Schizosaccharomyces pombe: one gene and its partners. Changing the gene in region 2 together with the main gene of any one other region gives a genetic interaction. Each region holds a gene or a part of one and is shown on either strand. Other genes may lie near its edges.

What was found. A genetic interaction does not mean that the proteins touch.
Region 1: of pim1 (region 2) and sbp1, extra expression of one is lethal in a mutant of the other (dosage lethality), as found in Schizosaccharomyces pombe (one study listed by BioGRID).
Region 3: of pim1 (region 2) and san1, a mutation in one rescues a mutant of the other (synthetic rescue), as found in Schizosaccharomyces pombe (one study listed by BioGRID).

Annotation. Positions count from the first base shown.
Region 1 is NC_003423.3:294,755-298,734, forward strand, and holds sbp1 (Ran GTPase-binding protein Sbp1), read right to left. Parts: upstream 2,417-3,980; 5' UTR 2,400-2,416; coding exon 1,952-2,399; intron 1,780-1,951; coding exon 1,651-1,779; intron 1,553-1,650; coding exon 1,482-1,552; 3' UTR 1,293-1,481; downstream 1-1,292. Other genes in the region: alpha-1,2-mannosyltransferase Omh4, read right to left, coding at 3,017-3,980. UniProt on the Schizosaccharomyces pombe protein: Stimulates the GTPase activity in the presence of RNA1. May potentiate the action of RanGAP1 (RNA1), thus playing the role of a negative regulator.
Region 2 is NC_003423.3:2,487,449-2,493,899, forward strand, and holds pim1 (RCC1 family Ran GEF), read right to left. Parts: upstream 3,588-6,451; 5' UTR 3,523-3,587; exon of another isoform or gene 3,393-3,522; 5' UTR 3,381-3,392; coding exon 2,775-3,380; exon of another isoform or gene 2,600-2,774; coding exon 1,586-2,599; 3' UTR 1,571-1,585; downstream 1-1,570. Other genes in the region: Rho-type GTPase-activating protein Rga5, read left to right, coding at 1-444; SPOM_SPBC557.02C (uncharacterized protein), read right to left, coding at 877-1,488; Ark1/Prk1 family protein kinase Ppk29, read left to right, coding at 4,600-4,699, 4,772-4,905, 4,945-6,451.
Region 3 is NC_003423.3:2,951,303-2,957,443, reverse strand, and holds san1 (RING finger protein), read left to right. Parts: upstream 1-1,985; 5' UTR 1,986-2,402; coding exon 2,403-4,628; 3' UTR 4,629-4,849; downstream 4,850-6,141. Other genes in the region: putative transport protein Tvp23, read left to right, coding at 312-478, 540-975; SPOM_SPBC2A9.03 (WD repeat-containing protein), read right to left, coding at 4,947-6,141.

The DNA of each region.
Region 1 (3,980 bases), 2.2 Mb from region 2:
TTTTTCTAACGATGAGTAAGATTCCGCCCCATCCGTTTTGTAAAAATCTTAAACTTGTCTTTATTTCATGTAAGCAATCCTTGGAGCGGCCGATTTACAATCATTAGCACCTCAAGCGGTGGTGTTACATTTGGCAACATGAAAGGATTTGTTGAACGATCCTAAGCCTTCGCATCAGTAAAAGACTTTTTAGAATTTTATTTTTATTAACATTATTTTTCCTTGTCAAAATTTAAAGTTGAATTGAGAGACGCAAATCTGAACTGGCGCTTTGTTTGGCATTTTCTAATTTATCGTAGTTTAGAGTCTTGATAAAATCATCTTACTAAGCTTGTTACCGATGTTTTCTTCAATCCCGTCCAGAAATTTTATTCTTGGATAAAATATAATTTTTGAATTGCAATATTGCGCGAAAAGAAGGGATGAATTGCCGCAAGCGTGATAAAACATCATAAGCAATTTGTTGTTAAGGATTAACTCGTTCGGGTTCTGTTTATGCTAATGAAAGTGAAAATGCTTAGTAAGATTAAAAAATACTTCAACTTGCTAGTTTCCGTTTGAATATGGGGTTGCTCTTCTTAAACGTTGTGATTTCACAAATGTTATAATATACAAAGCACAATTTTTTGATGGCTCTTGACTAATTCAATTTATCAATCAACTGTCAAGCAAATACAGCTTTGTTTTCCCAAGGAAATGCCCATCAATCAATTTTTCTTTTGTATGACAAGACTTAATATAAAAAGGCATTTGTAAGGATTCATAGTTTTCTACTTATGATTGAAAGTATCTTGCAATCTACCAAAAATTGCTTTTCTTGCAAACTCTTTTTTGCTTTTCACGTTCGAAATGAAAAGCTTTAAATTGGACCAGTTTGTTTCGAGCCGATGACTTATAATTCGTCTAATTTAACTTCGTTTACAATTCTTGTATTTGTTATACACTAGCTGCCAATAATTTTTCTTCGAATTGAAAAGTCACCTCTATCCCGAATGCATACTTTACTTCAAAAGTCTAAACTCCCTTCTCATTTCGGATCGAAACGTACCAGCTTGAACTCAAGATTTTACAGAGCTCCTTCATTCACTCATTTTCTTTTTTTTTTTGGTAATTTGAAACACTGAATTAAGTTATTTACAGATCCGTATACCATTAAACCATTTCTCATAGTATTATTGATAAATTATTTTTCAACTCCTATAACAACTCACTATAATAAACAATATGCATTTGCTCCATGCACCAGCTAAACTTTACCTTTGTACGATACATTTCATTCTACAATGGTTAAACTTACATAGACGTTCATTGAATTTTAAATATTTTTTAACGTATTTTCTCAGATATTTATACCACCCTAAAAGAACTGCAAATAGACTCATAGAAATTCAACAGCAACTCATCAACTTTACCGTGAGAAGGAAAAAGATGGAAAAAAGTTAATTCTATTATAGCAAGCCCAGAATAAATGACGATATAAACTAATTTTTTTTGAGAATTTTGGCATTCTCTTCTTGGTATTTTTCAAAGTTTTCCTTAAAGAGATTGGCATCTAACGAGGTTTGGTTAGTACCACAGTTGAAATAGGGTTATTTGTTAATATCAACTGGATTGATAAAACATCGGTATTTCTACCAAAAAAAAACTTACTTTCTGAGTTTGCAAAACGAATAGCAAAAGTCTCTGCAGTAGGTTCTCCTTCACTAACATCCGCAGCAACGGTCCAAACCCAACTACGATCGCTTCCAACATTGGGAGTCAATTTCATCTCGGGCATCACTAAAAACAAGTTAGTATTCAGATACTACATTCTGAGAAACCAGAGAAAAGAAATAGTCAAGACACGAAAGGACAGTGAGCTTTAATGTATTAAGAAAAAGTATTTCAACAACACGTAGCATAATGTCTTTTCAACGTCTAGAAATGCAACCATTAATCTAATTGGACATACATAAGTGGTTAGCACAAACTTTCAAAGTCTTGTCGCGACGCATAACCAAACGAGTTTTTCCAGTCTCCTTATGTTTCAAGAGACGAGCATCACCAGTTCCACGTTCCTTCCATTCGCTTGCTGCCTTGTCAAATCTGAAAAGTTTAGCACGCATTTTGAATTCGACAGTCTCCTCTTCTTCATTAGTTTTTGTCTCGACTGCACTCAATTTGACAATAGGCTCAAAGTGAACCTCAGGGGAAGCTGGTTCAGCATCCTCATCTCCTTCAGCTGGCTTCTTCTCATCGTTCGTGGAGGCACCAGACTTGTTTTCTTGTTTGGCCACACCGTCACCAAAAACAGCTTTGGCTTCTTCTGTTTGCTTGCTAGCAACGTCTTCACTAGCAAAAGAAGATTTCTGCTCTTCTTTAGTAGTTCCTTGAGTCTTTTTTTCTTGTTCTGCGGACATTGTGGTATTGTGCTGATGGAAGGAAGAGTGTACCACGAAAAAATTATAATATACAGTAACTCGGTATTCGAACAAACATATTGGAAATGGGTGCTGTGTTAGTCGGGAATCTATAAAAAATCATTTGCTAATAAAATCTTTGCCTTAAAGCTACTAGTCTCTTGTATAACTTCTTTACTGATCAATAAGATGCTAAAAATTTTTTCATTTGTAGTCATTACACATTCTATAACTATTTGAAGTGTATACATTTTATACTTCGTTATGCATAGATTGTTCGGTGTTGTTCTATTTTATGATTGTCAAAAAATACTCATCATAAATAAAAGATGCTTACATTAAATCTTAACTATTAAAGTAAGATTATCACCTATTTTGAATAAAAAGACCAGTGTTTATCAATTAAATTTCAAACGTTTGTTCAACAGCTAGATAGCTTGGAAAATAAGTAAAACAATCCGAAAAGGTACGTGAAAGACAGATGATATAAAAAAAAGCAAAAAATTAATATTTGTAAGCCCTAGCTTTTAACTCTGGCATTAATTGCAGTTAAGTAAATCGTCCGTGCAGAAAAAAAAACAGCATATTAAGTGAGAATGCAATTACGATATCAAAACTCATTCATCTAAGAATCCATCACCTATTAAATTCACCCATTGGGTGACACAACCTCCAGAAGTAGATTCTATTTCTGATAACTCAGGAATGCATTCGCAATTGCAACCCAGACTTTGTCCACAATGATGAATGTCAGAATGCCGATATCCTAAATCACGAAAATAATGAACCTGTTCTTTCGACAAGAACAGTCCAGCAGCTAGAGAGTGAAATGGAGCGTCTCCCCATCTTTCAGTCCAAAAGCCTCCTGTCGCATCCATTGTACGGAAGAAGTTCTCATACTGTTCATTTCTGAAGAACTTGAAATTTGCAATCTCAAAATTGCTCCAAAAATGACACATATTATAGGACTCCCCTTCCATTGAAGATGTTTCTGCTGAATATGATGAGTCAATCATAGCATTTAAATGAGAGGAAAAGGAGAGACCTACTGTAGGGTCTTTTCTTGAAATATCGTAGTTTTCCTTTTTAGGAGCATCCAAAAAGAATTTCCACATGTTAGAGGTTAAATTATTATTTCGACGATAAGCCGAGGTATATCGAAACAAGTTTGGAACAGTGTCTTCTAATTCCTTTAATGCTACAACATAACCATATATTTTCCCATTTTCTTCCATGTAGTAGAAAGGGTCATAAGATATATCGCATGTGAAAGCTACGTCGGGTTCAACTCGCCAGTACCATTGATATTTGAGTAGCAACGGATGCTTATAAAAGAACCCCGAAAAAAAGCGACACATATGATGGTAACTTTCTGTATCACCATACATGATACCTCGATCTCCTTGACTTGCAATAGCTTCACGCGCTGCATCTACATCAACATTACCAGGAAATCCAAAAGTATCTTTTTCAAGCGTTCCAAATTCAACGTTCGCAGATGTAAGTTTAAGAATGGTTTCCTTAAATTTTTCATCAAAGGGCTCATCGTTTAAAAATGTATAAGGGTAATTAAAATGTCGA
Region 2 (6,451 bases):
CTATCTCATCCTGATCACGAGGTTTACTCAAAAGATTATCAAATATCGCAAACGGCTCTTTTGTTCCTTATCAATCATCAAGGAAGCTTTATCAAAACCATTCCTTTGTCTTCACTACCTCCTCTGGTAGCTGCGCCTACTTCTCCAAATACTTCTTCTACTTTAATTACGCAATCTGCTGCACCTACTCCTATAGCCTCGACATCCATTAGGATTAATTCTTTTAATCCAAGAAATGGATCCATTAAGCGTTGGCGCTCTTTTAGTCGTCATTCTAGTGCCACTTATTCCAATAGTCCGAGTTCAAATTTTTCAAACATGAAAAGCTCCGAGGTGGATCCTGGTTCACCCCCAAGAATCAAATCTCGTTCGTATTCATTGTCTAGAAGCTCATCTATGAAGCTTTTCCATACACTTGATCGCCGGAGGGAAAATCGTATGTAATACTTTTAATTGTTTTTCTCTGTTTATCTAGTTTAATTGTCTTTGTCCTTGGTTGTATGGCGAAGAATCTTTTTGTACATATATACTTAGTTGTTACCGTCCGCTCTTTTAGTTTTATTGGGATTTGCATTTAGGCTGGATACCGCTACTGTCGTTTTATGTTTTTTTCTTTGTATTCAGCCATTTTCATTTTAGAAGTTCTACTTAACCATAGTAAGAACAAATTATCCAATTCGTTATTGTTTTTTGTAATTGTTTTTTGTTTTGGTAGATCAATATATTTATCTACATAGTAAATTTATCTGACAGCTTTCAGCTACTTTCGTAATTTTAAATTTTTATTAATTTGGTGTCCATATATCTGTACAAAGAAACTTTTATGAAAACAACAACGACATTGTAACCAGAAAGGATTTATCAATCTATACTTTATTAGGCTCCAAGGAGATCCTGTAACAATTGTAAGAGGCGCTTCTGATCTTCAGATAACTCTTCATCATTATTCACTGACAAAAACAATGGTATCTTCAGGTCTGCAAGGATTGCAAGCTGTTCTTTGTACATCCTGTTTGTCAATTGTACCACTTGTTCATCAAATTCTTGTAAAGCCCTATTGTCATCTAAAGTTTGAGCGGAATCATTGTTGGTCTGGTCATTAAGACAATTGGACGGTTGTTTCAATTTAGGGTCGGAGGAAAGCGGTTTCAGTATTTCTTGAAGCTTAGTTTTCGACTCAAAATGTTGAACTAGCCGCTGCCGTTCCAGAGACCAGTTGCGCTCTTGACGTTCCTGCATAGCCTTCATCTTTCTTAATTTTTGTAACTTTTCGGGATGGCGGGAATTTAGGGCAAAGATGTACCTCAAGGCAGCGGGATAGGTTTTAATTTTTTCTGCGTCCTCTATAGAATTGTTCAACTCAAAATCAGAGGGTTTCCGAGCCTTCGATAGAGGGATGGATGATTTGTCTACATTTTCAAGCTGATTACTCGTTACGTTGGAGGAGCTTTGAAGCTCTTGAAGCAAATCTGCGATTTTTTTATCCATTTGGAAAACTCATGAATTTTGTATGCATCAAACACATTGATATTCAAAATAATTTATCTAGCCCAAAAATAGTTAAAAGAAATTGAGAAATTAAGTACTAAGCAGTGGTGGAGCTGGGTTCGAGAACAGAATCCTTAGATTCAGATGTAGCGGTAGATGGTTCGCCGTTAGAGGTGACATCGGGCTTTGCATCAGTAACGGGAGAGTCATCCGTTTTGGAAGTTTCTTCGGTTTTTAATTTTTTTTCATTTTCGGGTTCGCTTTTTATGCCATTTGCAACTGGCTCTTCGGAAGCGTTGGGAATACCAGCAATGATGGAAAATTGACCACCTGCACCCGCTACACGGATCGCCACTTCCTTGATTGCCTTGGAACGAACTAATGTAGGAACAGCTACATCTTCATCATTATCACCTTGACCAACCTCGTAGTTTTCAGCAGATCCCCATGAATAAACCTTACCATCTGAGGTAACAGCCAAGTTGTGATGGGTACCACACACGACCTGTATAACATTAGTAAGTCCTGGGATTATAGTAGGGGTTGACAAGTAGTAATTGTTTCCCTTTTCATCTTTAACTACTGTTTCTGGAAGTGCATTATCCGGAATTCCTAATTGATGACGATCATCTCGACCCCAGGCTAACACTCTCCCATCTTCAAGTAAGGCTAGGGTATGATGTTCACCACCTGTAATAGACTTAACATTATATCCTTCTAAAGCATCAACGAGTGTAGGCTTTGTAATAACGGCGCCTTCTTCTTCATCTTCTACCTCTATTCCACATTGTCTGGTTATATTTAAGCCCCAAGCATAAACGCGTCCTTTGTTGTCAATCGCAAAAGAATGATACGATCCTGCTCCAACTGAAATAATATTTTTTAAAGCTAACGGTTGAGGAGTCAAGCCTTGAAGTCGACGACGTTCTAACATACGTCTACCCAGTTGAAACTGTTGACCATTACCCCATGTATATACTTTTCCTGTGGTAGTCAAGGCAATAATATGGTCCGTCCCTGTAGCTAATTGACAAATTTCGGGAAGTCGCATCTGCGTCGGTTCAGCTGTACGTTTTTGAGAATCGCTATACCCTAATACACCATCGGAACACTAGTATGTTAGCAAACGAAAAATGATAAATTTATAAAGCCATTTGTTCCAAAAGGGCGAAGGGAAATGATACAATGAGTCAATAGACTATAAACAACACTGCAACGATAACAGCACCTGAATTTGGAATCAAAGATCAAATGATAATTTTTCACGGCCAAAACAAATTACTTACACGGAAAGTACCCCAAGTAAAGCAGCAGCCATTGTCCGTTATTGCTGCAGTGAGATTGTCGCTACATATAACTTTTGTAACGCGTAGATGAGATAAAGCACCTTCGACCTTAGAAGGAGTTCCCTCTAGTAAATCATTGTCAACTTTGTCTCCATTCTCATCCTTTTGATCCTTAGTAAGACGACCAAGGGCATAGTCATCATTAACTCCCCAGGTGTATACGCGACCGTCATGAGAAAGGGCTGCAGAATGCATGCCGCCAACAGCCAAATCGACTACTCCTACTTTATCTGTAGATAAAATAGGATTCAAACGAGGACGATAAACGACATCCATTTCTTCTTCGCCCATACCTAGCTCGTTCATGGAACCGCTTCCAAAGACGTAAACGTTCAATCGTTCCGTAGGTAGTTCAGGTATCTTATTAATTCGCTTTGCGCTTCCTGGGACACGAACGGGTTTGGGTAGAGAGCTGACCTTTGCACGTTTAACCGGCTTTTTGCCATTTTTCATCACATCTGATTCATCTAATTCTCTTTTTTCAACCCCATTTTTTGAGACCTCCTCTCTTTTAGTTGAGCTTCTAGTACTTCTATTAGAAGTCATTATGAGTTTTAGCTGGAAGGGTTAGCTTTGCTACTAACAATCGATTTGTAATTTAAAAAAGAACAAGATGTCATCGCGTATTCCATGCAACCATCACCAGACGCAAATCCAAGAATTACATTTACTTTTTGGTACCACTTACTATAGCTTGGGTTTAAAATATTACAAAAGACAAAAAACAACGATTTATGTCGTTTTTGTTTTCGCAGAGACGTTGTTTTCAAAACTCGAACAAGTCGTTCTGTATACGGATTCTCACTATTCAGTATACTGCGAATCGTTGTTATGTGCAGCTTGTAATTAAGCATTCGTTAATTACAACATAAGCTTCGTTTAGCAAAATAAGTTATTGACTTCAGTAAAAGTTCCCAGCTTGTATTTGTTCAAATGTGTGTAAGGTGAGCTACGAATTTTTATGAAATCCTTTCTTTTTTTTTAACTTCATTTGATTTATATAAATTCGTTTAATCACGTCGAATGTTGAAAATTTGAGACCTCTTCTTATCTGAGAAAGCGGTTTCATGTATAGCTAAACAAAGATCAAATTTAAAAAAAAAGCTCATTAGTCATAAGAAGTTACAGTAAGACTCGGAGTGTCCATCGTTCAGCAAGATCGTATGCGAGAATACGAACTCAAGCAACGCGATTTTAATCTCTTCATAAATTATTTTTATGAGGACCATATACTTTTTTCCCTCATGATTTAATATTTAGTTACAATGAACATAGTCGTTAGCAGTTTCTGTTTTCTTTATTCTTTTCTGGATTTATATGTCTGTGAATTTGCCATGTCATAAATTTGGGTAACGATGTTACTCAACTTGATTCTACAAGTTTGCCTGTGAACTTGAGTATACTGTAAAATTAATTTCTCTTCTTAATCAGCTCAAATTATTAAAAGTTGTAGTTGAAATTTTCAAAATACGGCAAGTTGTCTTGTGGGGGGCGGTTTTATCTATCGGTAATGGCTCAAAGGTTAACCCTATAGAAGGGACTTGTGGTGTTTGGTGACTGGCTCAGTACCTTGCCAACAGCAGAATTGGCATCCCTTGCTCATCTTGATCAAAACTGTGTAAATACAGCCTTTTCAAAGAGTAAGTTATTATAATAAATTTACAACTAACGTAGATAGGGCTTCGGATGCTGTCCCATTGAATTGCGAGAGTGTAAACAATAACCTCGCGACTTCAGCCAGTATTGAACAAAAAACCTCTCTAGGATGTCTGTTGCATCCTTTCTCACGGGCGAAAAGCTTCTAGCAGGATCCAAGTTTGTAATTGGAAAATACAATGTTACTATCGAAAAGTACATAGCCGAAGGTATAATTTTTGGGTTGGATGGATCGAGGAGTATTACAATGAAAGATTTATTTTACTAACATTTTTCATTAGGCGGCTTTTCTCATGTATATCTTGTTCAAACAAATTCCAAAACTGATGGATCACCGATAACTGCTGTTTTGAAACGCATGTATTCTCCAGACGAGAATGCCCTGCGTTTCGTGAAAACTGAAATCGAAACGATGGTATGTTAACGTTATTGATTTTTTTGTCTAACTTATTAGGAACTACTCAAATCCAATCCCCACGTGGTTTCGTATATCGACTCCTGCATATTTCCTCTCGAGAAAGCGGGTGTCAACACTGGATTTGAAATCCTGCTTTTGATGGAATACTGCGCTGGGGGTGGATTGATAGATTTTATGAATCAAAGGTTACAAACTCGGTTGTCAGAGCATGAAGTCTTAAAAATTATTTCAGATATTGTACAGGGTGTTGCTTCCTTACACTATCTGAGACCTCCTCTCATTCATCGCGATCTGAAAGTAGAAAATGTTTTGCTAAGCTTTAATACTTTTAAATTGTGCGATTTTGGAAGTGTGACTGAGCCAATGCATGCTGCTGAAAACTCTAGCGAAATTCAAGCATTAGAAAAAAGTATCAACACATTTACTACCTACCAATATCGTGCCCCTGAGATGATTAATTTGTATTCAGGCTTAGGAATTGATGAGAAAAGTGACATGTGGGCTTTAGGAGTCTTGTTATACAAACTCTGTTACTATACAACTCCTTTTGAAACACAAGGTCCTAACGCTATATTAACAGCTTCATATTCCTTCCCCCCATTTCCTCCTTATTCACATTCTCTTAAAAATGTCATCATCGCTTTACTTCAGCCGAATCCTTGTCTTCGTCCAAATATTTTTCAGTTGATGTGTGAGATATGTCGTCTTAGAGGGACGGCTTTACCTTTTAGGGATATATACAGTGGAAGAGAGTCGTCTTTTTATGATTTGCATAACCGGAAAATAATGTCTTTGCTTCGACAAACAACAACAACACCGTTTGCTGGAAACCAAGTCATGCCGACTCCACAGGTTCAGGGCTCAAGACCTCCCCCTCCTCCTCCTATGCCAGCTCCTATCTATAACGTACCAAATGTGCCGACTGTACCAACCGTTTCCCCTAATCCATTTTTGCAACCTACTTTCTCTGGCACTTCTCAAGCTAGTGCACATCCTTCTATCCACAGCCAATCCGCAACATTTAACAACACTCAAGATGTGAACAGACAGAGTGTTTCGTCTCCGAAGGTTGTTTCATCAAGTTCTGTAACTGGCTCAGGAGCTAGTGGTCGCAAAGTCTACACACCTCAAAGTAAGAATCCCTTCCCAATATCTCAGGGAGTCACGGGAACATCTTCAAAATTTTCTGCTAGCGAGGTTACAGAAGATAATGGTTCACCAAACGCCGGACTCGATGCCGATAACGTTGACGTTGAGGAAGTTGTTAACCAGCGTTATCCTGATCTAAATGAGTTGGAGTCACAGCTTACTAGTCATACTAATATTACGACTAGTTCTCATCATAACCCTAGGGAACAAGAGATAGCAAAATTGGCTGATGATGCATTCGCTAGTTTCCGTCAGACAGCTGGTACTTCAACCGCAAATAGTACTCATACCACTGGTACTCAGGATATATCTGCCTTTGATACAAATTTTTCGGAAGGGGTTGGTAGCGTAAGGTCTTCTTTTGATTTCCCTGATCGTCCAGTATCTAGACGAC
Region 3 (6,141 bases), 460 kb from region 2:
ATTTACTTCAAATGCTTAGATGATAGGCATTAACAAAATTAAACAGACAGGCAGTCAGATTCATACTTTGGATATTATATGCATTACAGTTTTAAAAAAATTTAATAAACATTTTCGTTAGAAGAATATTATAAAACTTAAATTAACAACTAAACATTCACTTTCGAATACGATCTTTTAGAAAACCAGGCTTGCTACACAATAAGAATCTTCGTTAAGGTTCCTTATTCGCATACTGTCAAACCCCTGCTGAGATGTTCACCTCTTTGGATCGAAACCTTTACGTTGATAACCATATCACGTTGACGAAAATGGACTATCAAAATACGGAGACAATTGCCGAGCAGGAAAGGAATGCTAGTAGGCTACCGCAGATGTTTCAAATGTCTTCGCATCCTGTAGCTCTTTTCTTCTTTCTTTTATTTCGTACCGGTGCAATTGTGGCATACATATTGGGCATGTTCTTTACCTCAAGTTTGTAAGTTTTTAATAGCAGAAATTTAAAAGAAAAAGAAATTGAGCTAAACAAATAAAAATAGTATGTTGTTGTTTATTGTAATTTTCACTTTGCTAGCTGTTGATCTTTGGACTGTTAAAAACGTCTCTGGTCGTTTACTAGTTGGTTTGAGATGGAGAAATGAAACTGGAGTTGATGGTGAAAGCATTTGGATTTTCGAATCGGCAGATCCCAGTCGTCCCAGAAACGCCGTTGATCAGAAGACGTTTTGGTACGCTCTCTATCTATATCCATTTATTTGGATCATATTGGGGATTGTAGCTATAATTCGATTTGAATTTCTCTGGCTTGCACTCGTTGCTGTCGCAATTGGACTGACAAGTGTTAACACCGCTGCTTACAGTCGTTGTGACAAAGACGCGAAGCGTCGTTGGGCTACAGAACTTGCAGATTCCAATTCTTCTGGATTTGTTTCCAGATTTTTATCTAGGGCTTTTATCAAGAGATTTATTGGTTAAAGCTCTTTCAAATTCTGTAAATAATTTTTCGAACTACATTGCATTTTAAGCTCATTGTATATGAAAAAGCTAATTTCATGGGATTCTGGCTTAACGATTTGCTTGTTAATTAAATTGACGAAAGCGCTGGAACGATATTGTGTTTTTACTTCCCAACTTTGAAATGACAGAGCGTCAATTTGAATCCTTAAGCATCAACTGATTACGTATTTTTATAATACAAAAGCCAAAAGACTGTATGACGGATCCTGTATTTTAGTATGAGTTTATATAACCTCCCATACTGTTACTTTCAAGCATATATCTTCTTTTCTGATTGAATATTTGAATAGAGCCCAATGGTTATTTTTAGGTGCACATTACGTTCTTTTATTCATACATTCTTTTATGGTTAATACTATCACACAAAGTTTCATGAAGGCCAACTGAGATCTTTTGAAACCCACTACATTTATTTTTCCATTGATAACATTCTTAGTTAGACTTCAAATATTTACGCATGGAGTGCTTAATAAGATACCGATGAACGAAACTTCAAAGTTTGGTGCTACTTTTTATTTCGACAACTATGTTCCTGCGTGTGTTTGCTGTGAACTTAAAATTTAATACTTTCTTATTAGTGATGAACATATATTGAAACGAAGTTCTTATAACAGCATAATAAAAGCGGAAAGAATATGTAATTGTTAGTTTCTAATATACATATTTTAAATGGCAAAATATGTATTTAGATGATTCCTTTACTAAAGAGCATATCATTTTTTTAGTACATATATAAAGCATTAGCTTAAATGTCAATTATAAATTCAAGGATATGCGGTTTCTTACACGATTCGCAGAATTTCGGTTTTCATATGCTTTATGTCAACAAACCTCCCAACTATCAAATAAGGAGAACCTTTTATAACTCCTTAAAAATATTAAGGTATTGAATGTCCTAATGAACGCCCACATGTTCACTGTCTCTATTGGCAATATATAATGGAAGTCCCTGGTTTTCTATTTTGTTCAACACCACATTTTGCACCTTAAAAGATAGTTTAAGTGGAAAGGTGCACTTTATAACATTCTATAACGTCTTTTATTTTCTATTTACTTTTTTTTTTGCTTGCCTAAATAAATATTGAAATATTCAGTGGCCAGAAAACCCCGATGGAGAATGTTACATTTTCCTTACCATTAAATTTTTGATTCCTGTTTTTTTATTACCGCAGCAATCATATTTTACCATATTCCTCCTTTGTATATAATAAGTCTCCTACAAATATTTCCTTTGTCTTATTTGTTGTTTTTATTTTGAGTACTGCTTTATTTATTTAGATTCGACTTTATTGTGGTCGTTTTATTTCTTTTTTTTGGTTTTATTATTAGACCACTGAGGTACTAGTTTTTTGTATAGAATCTCCTGTTACAATTATCTGTTTTAAATGGATTCCAATACAAATGAGAATAATTCTCATGCATCATCAAACGAGAGACAATCATCTGAAGGGCATGATGACTATTTGAATCGTAATCCAAACAGTGAAGCAACTGAGGGTGAAGAAGGTACCCACCCTACCACGGGGACTCAACCAGTTGCTTTTTCAATTGGTACAATGTTTATCATAACTCCTCAAGCCAATTTCGAGGGTGGAGAAAATGATCCGTTTGCCAATCCCTTTCAACCACCCGTAAAACGCGCTGTAAAAGAAGCCTGGGATTCTTTCGAACCTTTGTCTAATGACCAACTGATGGATTTGACTTGTCCGATCTGTTACGATGATATGAATGAAAATGATGAAAAGCAGGCTACCAAGATGCCATGTGGCCACATATTCGGTAAAAATTGTTTACAAAAATGGCTTGAAAATCATTGTACATGTCCTCTTTGTAGAAAAGAGGTTCCCCACGAAACAGTAGGTTCAGCTCATCCTCCTATTTTATTTATCATTCCACACTCACATACGCTTCGTGGCAACCAAGGCAACACCGCGGTTTCTCAAGAAAATGCATCAAATGGTGTTCATTCCGACTTTCATCCATCTGAGGAGCTTAACAATGCAAACACTGATGGTCGAACCGGCGTAGACGAACCAGCTCGGCAACTGCATCGCATTGCTTTTAACCGAATACGTTTTATTCTAGCTCCAAATCGATCTGCCACCAATACCCCTGTTGAAAATACTCACCCTGAAAACCCTGACTCAAACACCTCAACACCTACTACTCGTAGTGAGCCCTTAGCAGGAGAAGGTGCCTCTATTGATGCCGAAAATGCTAGCTCTAGACAAGAGACTACTCCTTCGGATTCTCGTCCTTCGACGCTTACGTCCTTATTTAATGCTTTCTTTTCATCTATGCCTGATCGCCCTTCCTCTAATGAACCTATGACTTCGAATCTTACCTCTAATTCTGGTAGTATGACGAATAGTACTTCCACAGACTTGCCAACTAGTAACTTGCCCTCTCAAAATGCTCCAGCTAGACCAGTTGAGCCGTCACCTTCAATACAGCCTCCCAATTTGCTAAATCTTCCAACGGCTTCGCCTGAATCAACTTCATGGCTTCCTGGAAGCCAAACAAATATCCCTGCAAATACGAATCGATCTGAAAGGCCTTTTACACAGTTAATGACGTTCCATGGTCTTCCTTCATTAGCCGATTTACCAGCTGTTCTTGAGTCTATGTTCCGTCCTAGCGGTAATAATAACCTGCTTAATTTAAATGGAATTTTCCATCCCGATCACAATGCGCAGACTGAAAACGGTCAAACGTTGCCAGAGAATACTGACGACACCAACAGCAACGCTACGTCCGCAGTTCCCAATCTACAGAATTTAAATCAGCAAAATGCTGTAACTATGGGTACAAATACACCAAATAATGGTTCCTCCCCTGCTGTTCATCCAGTAATTCATATATACTTGTCGAGACCGCCTTTACAACCTGCAGTTAGCGAACAGGAAACTCCTTCTGAAGCGGTTTCAAGGGAAGGTACTAGAAGTACAGATGCTACGATGGAAGATTCAAGTAGACCTCCAAGCAATGGCTCTTTCCAAGGTCCTGGTATTACCCATCTCAGTGAAATGGGGCAGCGCATTTTGCAAAGGTTTCAGGAAGAAATGGAGAATCGAATGAATCAAACTAGAAGTGAATCGAGCACCCCTGCTCAGCAATCAGCTGCTGGAAGCAGCATTAATGTTGACACTGCCGGGCGACAACCTTCCGATGAGATAAATATTCCTGGCGAATACGAAAACTCGAGTGAAGTTGCAGGATCACGAAATCAAACTCCTACCCATTCTTCCATTGCTGTAGACACCTTGAGTAATGTTGCGGTAGACCAGCCTGCGATATCCACTCCGTCGGACGTTGTTGGTAGTGATGCCGGTGATACTAGCAAGGTTTCGTCGGGAACTAGCACTCCTCGAATGGCTGCTCCGATTGCTAGACGATCAAATCGGCATCATCCGTATAGCAGACCTAGCTCAACGCGTCCTCAGTGTCAGCTTGAGGATCAAGGCATTTGTGATCCTAATGATAGATTTGTGCACTTCGAATGCGGTCATTCAGTACATGAAAGATGCCAGCAATCTACTAGCAACTCCGAAAATCAAATGGACGAAGAAATTGGAGAATGCCCAAAATGTCGTAATGAAGAGCATAAGTAATGTTTGTGTTTTTTTACTCTTTTGTTATCTTTATCATGAAAAATATAGTTGTTTGTTTATTATGCCTTTTTAAATCTTCAATACAAATTTGGTGATGTCCCTTTAGAGTATCAATATTTCATGCTATATAGATTTTTATTGTTTTTGTATTATTTATATCTCAATACTTATCATCTATATTATTTGCTCTCCTATAAACTAAATGATTATTTGACTATTACAAAAAATCTCATTATTTTTTTCAACGTTCATTAATAGTTTTGTTTGGTACCAAGGAATTTATTATTATAAGATTAAATGACTCAATGAGTTAAAGAATTAAAATATGAAAGATAGCGGATGTTGTAAAGGTCTCCTAAATTCTAAAATGCCACCCAACATGGGATCGTCTACACCAATAAATAAACTGTCGCCAGAAGATGAGTAAGCGGTTCCGGCGATTTCTCCAAAAAAGTCAATAACTTGGGATGTATTAAATAATTTAGTATCAAAAAGTTGAACAAAATCGGCTTGTTCCGTGACAGCTAAGCTTTCACCTAATGGAGAAAAGCACAAATTCGTCACAGCACTCATTTGGCTACCTAGATTTCGAAACGACTTACCAAGGGCACGTATGTCCCAAACTTTAGCCGTTGTATCTTGTCCTCCAGTAGCCAAAATATTTCCATTTGGATGCCACGAACCAGTAAGTACAGAGTCGGAATGGGGAAGTTTGGCTGAAACGGAATTTGATCTAATATCTATTAACATGGCGTCTTTCGAATCCGTGCATACAAGCGCTAATGGAGTTTCATCAAAAAGTTGGACGCAGTTAACAGCATTTGAACACCTGTAAACAAGAATGGGGCTAGTACGCTGGACATCTTCCACATAAACAGCACCATCATTACAGCCAAGGATGAATTTTTTTTCGGAAAAAAGTTGAATATGATTAATCGAATCATCTGAAAGCTTACGAGTACTAAAACTTCCGTTTTTAAAATTGAAAATACAATATTGTCCATACAATGTTCCCAGACATCCTACGGCATTTGTAGTATCCAAACATGATATCGCTTTTTTCTGAAGGATATTATTCTTAAGGTCAATGATTTGAACAGAATTATCATGCAATGTGTTTTCCATTCTGATGCTGTTATTGCTCACATAAATGACAGAATGCTCACCAACCACCTTTACGCTTTTGCAAAGATGGTGATGATTCCGCAAGCAATTAGGATTTTTCAAAAATCTTTGAAATTCATAAAACGAGTCTTCAGCGGCGACTTGTACAGTATCTAGCGATAGCTCTTCGGGTGACCAGTCTGAATGATTGCAAGACAGGCTATAAGTGTGTAATCGATAAAGACGAAAGTTTTTCCGTTTACCAATTGCTTTATTTCCCCAGGGAATTCCTTGAAAATCCACTGTCCCACAATTATCGGTGCTTTTTGGGTTCAATTCAAAATTTGATGCAGTGGGGAATCCATAGTGGTCTAACTGAATTAAATTCCGGTTTCCTGTATACCAAGAA